Linked DNA regions of Bombyx mori. The protein of the gene in region 1 interacts with the protein of each later gene in a pairwise test. Links are inferred from orthologs where the notes say so. Each region holds a gene or a part of one and is shown on either strand. Other genes may lie near its edges.

What was found.
Region 2: the proteins of GTP-binding protein RAB2 (region 1) and TBC1 domain family member 16 interact in a two-hybrid assay, tested with the Drosophila melanogaster proteins (2 studies listed by BioGRID). The link is inferred for Bombyx mori from reciprocal best matches to the Drosophila melanogaster genes Rab2 and TBC1D16.

What each region holds. Positions count from the first base shown.
Region 1 is NC_085125.1:6,240,387-6,244,757, forward strand, and holds the start of GTP-binding protein RAB2, read right to left. Parts: upstream 2,910-4,371; 5' UTR 2,743-2,909; coding exon 2,697-2,742; intron 118-2,696; coding exon 1-117. UniProt on the Drosophila melanogaster protein: May be involved in bidirectional endoplasmic reticulum (ER) to Golgi trafficking. Together with Rab7 involved in promoting fusion of autophagosomes and endosomes with lysosomes, probably through recruitment of the HOPS tethering complex.
Region 2 is NC_085123.1:4,178,307-4,182,470, reverse strand, and holds the start of TBC1 domain family member 16, read left to right. Parts: upstream 1-1,250; 5' UTR 1,251-1,446; coding exon 1,447-2,327; intron 2,328-4,164.

The sequences.
Region 1 (4,371 bases):
TCTGCTTGCCATCAATTGTGATCATCCGAGCACCAAATTCAACACCAATAGTGAGATCATGCACCGGTTGGAATCTTTTGTCCGTGAATTGAAGGAGTAAACATGATTTACCCACACCTGGGAAGGAAAATAAACGGCCATGGTAAAAAAACTAAAATAAATAATCTTTTTATGTTATGGCTATAGTTATTTATTTTGTAGTAAAGTATATCTTATATTTTGACAGTATATTAATTTGTATCATCAATCATTCAATTAACAAAAATTAGGGTCCTTATTTTTTGTGTTAAAATATTATTACATATTTTTAAAGAAATATATTATTTGTACAAATGTATTTTTAGGGTGATTGATGGTCTTTGTTCTCTTCATAATAAATTATCAGAGCTATATAAGTCTGTTATAAGAAGAATGTCAAAATTATTCAATATATTTTTCAATCAATTAGTCAATATATTTGATAAGAGCATTGTATGTTGATAGTACACACAAGTGCTATTAATATTAAAAACAAGCGAATGTATTCCAAATATAACTATACTGAGACCTTAGAACTTATGTCTCAAGGTGGGTGGCGGCATTTACGTTGTAGATGTATATGGGCTCCGGTAACCATTTAACACCAGGTGGGATGTGAGCTCGTCCACTCATCTGTGCAATAAAAAATAAAATGTTTTATTGAATCACCCCACCTTATGCTGGATGATAATCAGGGCCTGGTGTGACCTGAGTACCACTATTCACATAACCATATGAAAGAAAATCAAGTAATAAATAAATAAATTAAATATTGCATCAAATATAAAACTGATCTTTGGCAGAGATTAAGTGTTATTAGATAAAAATTTACACTGTCTTTAATATTAAAACTAGTGTTACACTTTCTTATTTGGTATAATTTGTGAGAAAAACATACAATTTGTGTTTAACATAGGTCAGTGCCCACAGAAATTACCTCACCTCAACTTCTTAACAAACATTGTAGATAAATTTTAGATTATATTTAAATTACATATTTTTTAACTAAATTATTTATTTGTAGTTAAAAAATTAATTCAACCTTTAAACGAAAAAACATAAAACTGAGTAGCTCTGGTAAGTACTGAACCTCAGGTGGGCTGTGAACATGTTTGCTCAACTATAACATTTTTTGAAATTACAATTTTCTTCAATTAAATCTCTAATTAAATGCAAAATATGAAAGTAAATATGCTCCACTTTCAATGTTTTCACTATTTCATTGTTCATGAGACTACTTACTACATTGAGTATATAAATATAGTGCATATAAATTTTTAAAATGTTACAAACTCATTCAGTTTTAATATTTATGATGACTGTTTATTGAACTCATTGATACATGTAACAAAACAATACAGAGTTTCGTGCTTATCTTTTTTATTCCTGTCTCTTTATGTATGTAAATGAACTTTGAGAAATAAACACCAAAGGACAAAATGAACGGTTTTATTTATTAATTTTTTATGTATCTTTAGCGAGTCATTTGTCCAGACAGTTGAGGAGGTATCTGAGTTAGTGTCACCATTATATATTTAGGTGGTATTGATAATTGACTTAATGTTTTAGGTATAATCAGATGGATGATAATTCTTCAATAGGGTAGGCATTTTATTGTTATATCTATATAATTAGCTTGTTATTCATTAGATCATTATTTAGTTAGGGTCACTAACTGTTAGGTAAGTTATTAACTACCATATTGAGGTAACCATGTTTGATTCTCAGTCAGTCTTTATTAAAGACATTGGTCTAAGTCTACTCTTTATTATCTTGTGCTATCTTTATTATCTCCAATACCCATAACATATGAGAAAATGTTAACTTGGACCTGTTGAAGGTGTAACATTTATGTTTTTTGGATTCTTGTATAAAAGGCAAAATTAAGTTCAAAATTAGGTAGTCTCACATCCGTCAGAGTGAAGTAGTAGGTCGAATTTACACTCCTATCCGAATTTATCATGCAGTCAGAGATAATATATATGATAATGTAAAATTATATAAAGTATAAATGTGAAATTTTGTACATATCTACGCCCCCTAATTTAAAACTATTTTGCATATATCTTAGAAGGCAGTGCTTTTTTATATACTATGATATGTTATTATACTATGTTTTTGGATTATTATATGATCACAAGCTTAATCTGATAAAAAATATGTTACCTAAGCTGAATTTAGTTTATTCATTAACTATTTATTGATTGAAAGGGAGCTTCCAAGTAGTTATGAATATATATTTTCTTCATATTACAAGTTAAAGTTCATTATTATTATATTATAGCAAAGATGTCAGCTAAAACAGCAAAATAAGATTTTTCTCAGAATTAAGATTGGCTGAAAACAAACAAAGGATGTCCTTGAAATAGCAATCAGACATTGTTTGTTGTTTACTATCATCTAAGAACTGTATCTTTGAATATTAGTGGTTTGCATTAATACGCATTTCAAAATATTCCTTTGAAGATGCGTAAAAGCGTAGGCGGAATTATCTGATAGCAATTACCCTGGTTCCAGCCTATTTACTAATAGCAATACTAAAGAAAACATGATTTATATTTTTTGTTACTGAGGTGTCTCAATGTCAACGTTTTTATATTGCTGTGTATCAAAGCTGCAAATAAACAAAGGTATACACAAAAATACGTCAAACAAATTTCAGGAAATATAATCAATACCTGTGTCCCCGATGATGATGTATTTAAAAAGATAGGCGTATGCCATTTTAACACAATGTTAGTAAACGGATTACAAAAGTAATTTAGTTCCTTCAATAAGTAGCAATACAAAACGAATTTTCAATTATTTCTAACAAAATTATACGCAATTTTAGAACATCTACAGCTGGTTGATTGAAACTTGAATCAATTTGTCATCAATTGTCATTACGAAAGAGGGTTGCCAAAAGTCTATGATCTATGAAAATTTCCGCAATGTTATTTCGAATTTAATTTTCATTGCCAAAAAACCGCTTATGTTTATTGTAATAAAATTAAATTTTCAATCTGAAATGACATGGCGCGTGAATACGACAAGTTTGAGTATGAGTATTAGTGGAATATGTTTATTACCTAATGAAGTAGGTATTGATATCCTAGTTTTTAACGAAGTCATCGTGGTCTAAAGATAAGACGCTTAGTGTATTCGTATCGAACGATGCGGATACCTGTCGCGGTATGCAGATACCAATTTTTCTGGTGAAATGCCTACTTTACAACGTTCACGAATAGCCCCAACGGTGCAGGAATAACATTGGATAATAAAATTCCGAAGCAGTAGAAGTGCGTGGGCTGCAAAAAAATCAAACTTGTAAATATTATAATTTGCATAATTCCTGGTAGTAAGGCGTTTTATGACTTTGTATGGGTACAATCAAGGAATACTGCCACCCTGTATATTTCTGCAGCGAAGCAGGAATACATTCTGGTTACAAGAGTGGGGCAGCCTTTGTACTATTTAACTAAGATTTAGAACTCACGTAAGAAAGTGGGTACCGCCAGGTATTTACTATGTAGATATGGGATCCGGGGATAGCTCGTACACCGATTTATGCAAAAAAAAAACTAAACTTACATTTTTAAATTATTTTTGTCAGATGCCATTCAGTTCTGAAATGAATTTCTTTCCGCAGAGTTTCCTGTGCTGTGAAATGAACTCATACAAGGCTTGTAGCAGTGGGTAGTGGTGCACCTTTGGCTGTGGATCTGGCATTGCCAGTAATCACTAGTGTGAACAGCCATCATTGGGTAGATTGTAAGCTCATCTGCTTTTAATCAAATAATAAAATATCCAAATCCCTATAAGTTGCTGTAAAAAATTCAGAAGCTGAATTGAACCATCGTCGCAGGGTAGACTGGTGGTGTTTATTGCAGTTTATCCACTAAGGCCCAGAGTAGCGTAACCCTAATTTGTGATTGGGGACAATATTGGATTGGAGAGCGACAATATCCGCCGATTGGTTGTCTCATTTAAAGTTCAGCGACCACGTTACAGTATCATAGTTAAATAACTAGAGCTTCTAAATATTAGGGGTTAAAGTATGAGATTTCCGATTTGTACTGAATTGAAATTCATTTTTTTTTTCATTTAACATTTTTATTTAATAAAAATATCTACCATTATTATCTATACATTGTTGCCATCTCATAGGAAGGTCATGGTAGTCCGTTGGAGCAAGGTCTAACAAATATGGAGGGTGACAAATGGTTTCTAATTTCAGTTCCTGTAGAGTTAAAATGATTTCTCGTGCTGTATGAGGTCTCGCGTTATCATGGAGCAATAATGGTGAAGATCGATTCATGAGTCGGGGCTGTTCCACTGCAATTTTTGCAGAAAATCATTCATATTTTCACA
Region 2 (4,164 bases), on another chromosome or scaffold:
TGGCAGCTTTTGTTTGCCCCTTTTTGTACTATTTTTAGAATATTAATATGAAATATCGATTTATTCACTATCGTTTACAGGGTAGTGGAATCGTTGCACCTACGCAATTATTCTTCAGTCTTATGATATCTTAAAGTTGGCATAAGCGTTCATGGTATGTCTCCTATGCGCTCCGTAGGTTTGTTTTATCCAACCGTTTCACTAACGTTTCAAAGCAAACTATTAAGTATCTACACGCTAGCTTTTGGAGCAGGCATAGGGGGCCTAGTACCCGATTTCATCGAACTCTTCGAAGAGTTTGAAACTTAACCCTTTTTTTTCTTTCCAACAGAGGGTTGAACCTCATACATAAAGTTTCGATGCCTAAGGGTCCGCAGACGCTGGGAGTTGACCGCTGGCCCAATGATATTTTGACAGACCTACTAAACGACTCCCTTTGCAATCTTTCATCCGACGTCCGATCTCCGTCCGGGGTCGGAGTCTGGGCAGAATACGGGTGCTCCCGCGGTCAACACTACAACCAGACTCGCGACGCCACTCTTCGTCGCGAGTCTCGACCGACGGATCGTTGAAGCAATCGTCGCCTACCAACGAAGCCAGGCTACGGTAGCTCGTCATGTCACCCGGGCGGTGCCGCTCGTGTACCCTAGGTCTAGCGAGTCCGAATGTGACATTCCAACGAGCAGGTTGCTTTCCCACAGTACGTCCGGCGACGATGACCATACCACGTCGCCGCATCCTCCAATAGCGCTGGAGTAACGGTAGCGTGCCGCGCAAACTCGAGCCCCTCAGATCGCTTCGTGACCCTCACTGGGAGGAGAATGCGCCATCACAGACCTATCCGATTCCGATCCAGTATGAGATGCATTCGCGAAACAGGTGCCCTTGAACTGTAGTGTCTCTTTGGGAGGCGCTCGGGCAGCTGTTAGCAAATTTCACCCGACCTGTCTGAGTCCGTGCTCGCCCACCAGGTGAACCTACAAACACTTCTGTCCTGAACCTTCTATGTACCGGCTCCGCGGTCCTTAATAGGTCACAACCGTCCGCTATTGGACATCGACCATTCTTCATACACGCCACGATCATGCTGAGCTTATAAATACAAGAGAAAAATAATTATGATCCCAGGGGTTCCAGCCTAAAAAGTTCCAGTTTTGTATACATCGGATTTTTTTTTCTTTTTTAAATTAATCAAGTTTATTCATTTTGGAACGTAGATATATGCAAATTGTTCACGAAGCTGCGTCATAATAAATGTCGTGACGTTAGTTAAGAACATGCTCGTTGCTCGGTATTCGGATCAATAGTGTGTTATCAACGCAGCTGTGTAGGTGTTTACATGCGCGCAGCATTTAGTACTCGCGAAGCGGCGCTTCAATGAGGCCGTCTCCATTGATAACGTCGCGTCGCACTACTGCGCTGTGTTCCATTAAGGAAATGTGAACAATGCCCCTTCCTGATCTACTTAGGCGAGCTTCGAGCTATTTTCTCGGCATCGACTTCGACGACGAGGACCCACCTGATTACGTCGACAACGAAATACTATTCTGTAAGAATAACGTTTGCGTCCATCCTCCAACGATCGCGAGGCACGAATTAGATATCATACATCACCCCGGCTACTTGACTATCACGACTAAAGTGTTTACCGATCAGCACAATAACGCTAAACGTCCGACTTTGTTTTTGAATTGGATTCCGAACTCTACCCTTCGAAAATGTCCGTCTGCGGTTGAAACCAGTCCTAGCGATGAGCTCGGCTGTGTTGTCAACAAACCGACCGCTCCGAGGCAAATACCTTACACACAATCGCACAACGATTCGAACATATCGATAAAGAATGACATTGAAAATGCATTCTCTGATTCGTCGGAGACGACAAGCCTCAATTCTAATTCTGATAAACAGAGCCTAAAGTCTACCGACACTAGGTACACGCCGAACGATACGACGCAAGACGAGCTATCTTCCAGCTCTAAGCCAACAGTAAAATCAATTGATTCAGGAAAAGACAACGTGTTCAGCAGCTTCGAGAAGGAAGAATTGAAGAACGACGTGTTTATATATGATAAACACGTGAGATCTCAGTCTATGACCTCTGTGAACATTACAATCGCTAATCCGACTATAGAAAACGTTGATCTGACCCCTGATTCGCTGTCGAGCGACAGGTATATTAGGTCGCTATCGCTTAGCTCGTGTGACGAAGGTAATCCTAATTGGATGAGCACCCCCGAGTTCTTGGCGCTGAAACACAATTTGGTGTTTCCCGACAGCGTTCATAGCTCGCCGGTCCCACAGAGGCGAGCTCCGTTGAAATGTCGAAGGTGAATATTGTCGTGTGCTTACCTAATATTAATCGTAATGTATAGTGTTCGTGTGATCTTTTTTTTATTTTTTATTGTTTAGATGAGTGGACGAGCTCACAGCCCACCTGGTGTTAAGTGGTTACTGGAGCCCATAGACATCTACAACGTAAATGCGCCACCCACCATGAGATATAAGTTCTAAGGTCTCAGTATAGTTACAACGGCTGCCCCGACCTTCAAACCGAAACGCATTACTGCTTCACGGCAGAAATAGGCAGAGTGGTGGTACCTACCCGCGCGGACTCACAAGAGGTCCTACCACCAGTAAAATAAATAGTGATCATATAAATAGTAAGCTATTCCACAACCGCTAACTTCTTTAACGATTATGTTTTTAATTTAGTTAAATAAGGACTAACCGCACTTTTGACTTCTGAGGCGGCATCACCTTTGACAAATCGGAAGTTTGTTAATTGGCACCTGGTATATTTTGAGTTTTTCAGAAACTTACATGTCTTTAACGTAACGTTATGAACGTTTATAAGTGATCATGTTTGAAAAGTATTATGTTATTAACTCTGGTAATGGCAGGGGCGGCAATAGCGGCGGCTCGTCTGCCTACGTAGGCTAATAATTTAGTTTATAATGCGATTTTGTTGAGTCCGAACTAAATAACAATCTGTGACGTATATAGCTAGTGATTTTATAGGTAATTTGAGTTATAGAAGTTAATATTAAAATAGGTAATTGCGCAGTTAGGAAACGCAAAACAATTATCCATTCGAACCCTGAAGTACCTACCTAGAAGCTTATCAATAAATTTAAATTATAATAGTAATAAACTGTAATCATCAAAAACTCGCGATAAAAATCCGATACTGAAAGAGAGAGAGAGTATTCTTTATTAATACACCAACAAAAGACACAAGCGAAGCGTGTTATTGTTCAGTTTATTGAAATTAACTTGAGATGAGTTAGTGCATTCATGATTACGTAAAATTGTGAGTTGTGATGTGCTCGTGGATCAGTGGTATCATGGTTAAAAATTAAAAAACAAACCTATCGTAATTTATTTATCATGTTTAATTTTGAAATAGCTTTGTTGAAACCTGGCACCTTTCAACGTCAAATATTAATTATTAAAAAAAAAAAACGCTTACATAGTGGAACCTTCCGTATTCGAGCTAATATTTCCATTTGTGCCATTTTGCCGAAACACACATACGAAATATTTGTTTATTTAAATACATATAAAATGCAAAGTTATTGCTTATTTATCGACGCCTAATTCAACCACCCCAGGAAAGCAATAAAATGCATTATTTATGACTAGAAAATATGTAAAGATTTTTCGAAATTCAATTCAAAGAGAAGAGAACTTCAGAGTTTCCTTTTATAGAATAGAACAATAAATCATCTGTAGCTTAATTAAAAGGAGTTTTTTTTAATAAAAATTATAATTAAAAGGCTTAATTAAAAAAGCTTAATCAAAAGGAGTATTTTTTTAAAAAAAATTAAAAATGGGATAGTGTCCGGTAAAAGTTAGTTTCTACATATAATAAACAGGGTGCGTTTACGTCTCTGACCACGATGATAGGTTTAGGTGTTTTCTAATATGATAGGATTGAAATTATATTCGAAGATTTGTTGCGCTATAGATTTTTGTACTGAATTATTAATATATACCGACGCGCATTATCTACGGACTCGATCTGAGGACAGGCGCGAGCAGCTTAAACTACACGTGATTCACAAAACGTGAATTTACTAAAGTCACAAGTATTTTTACTTATTTCATGAAACGTTTTCAAACGGCTTTCGTTTAACCTTTTATCATGGTTGGGAACGACATTTT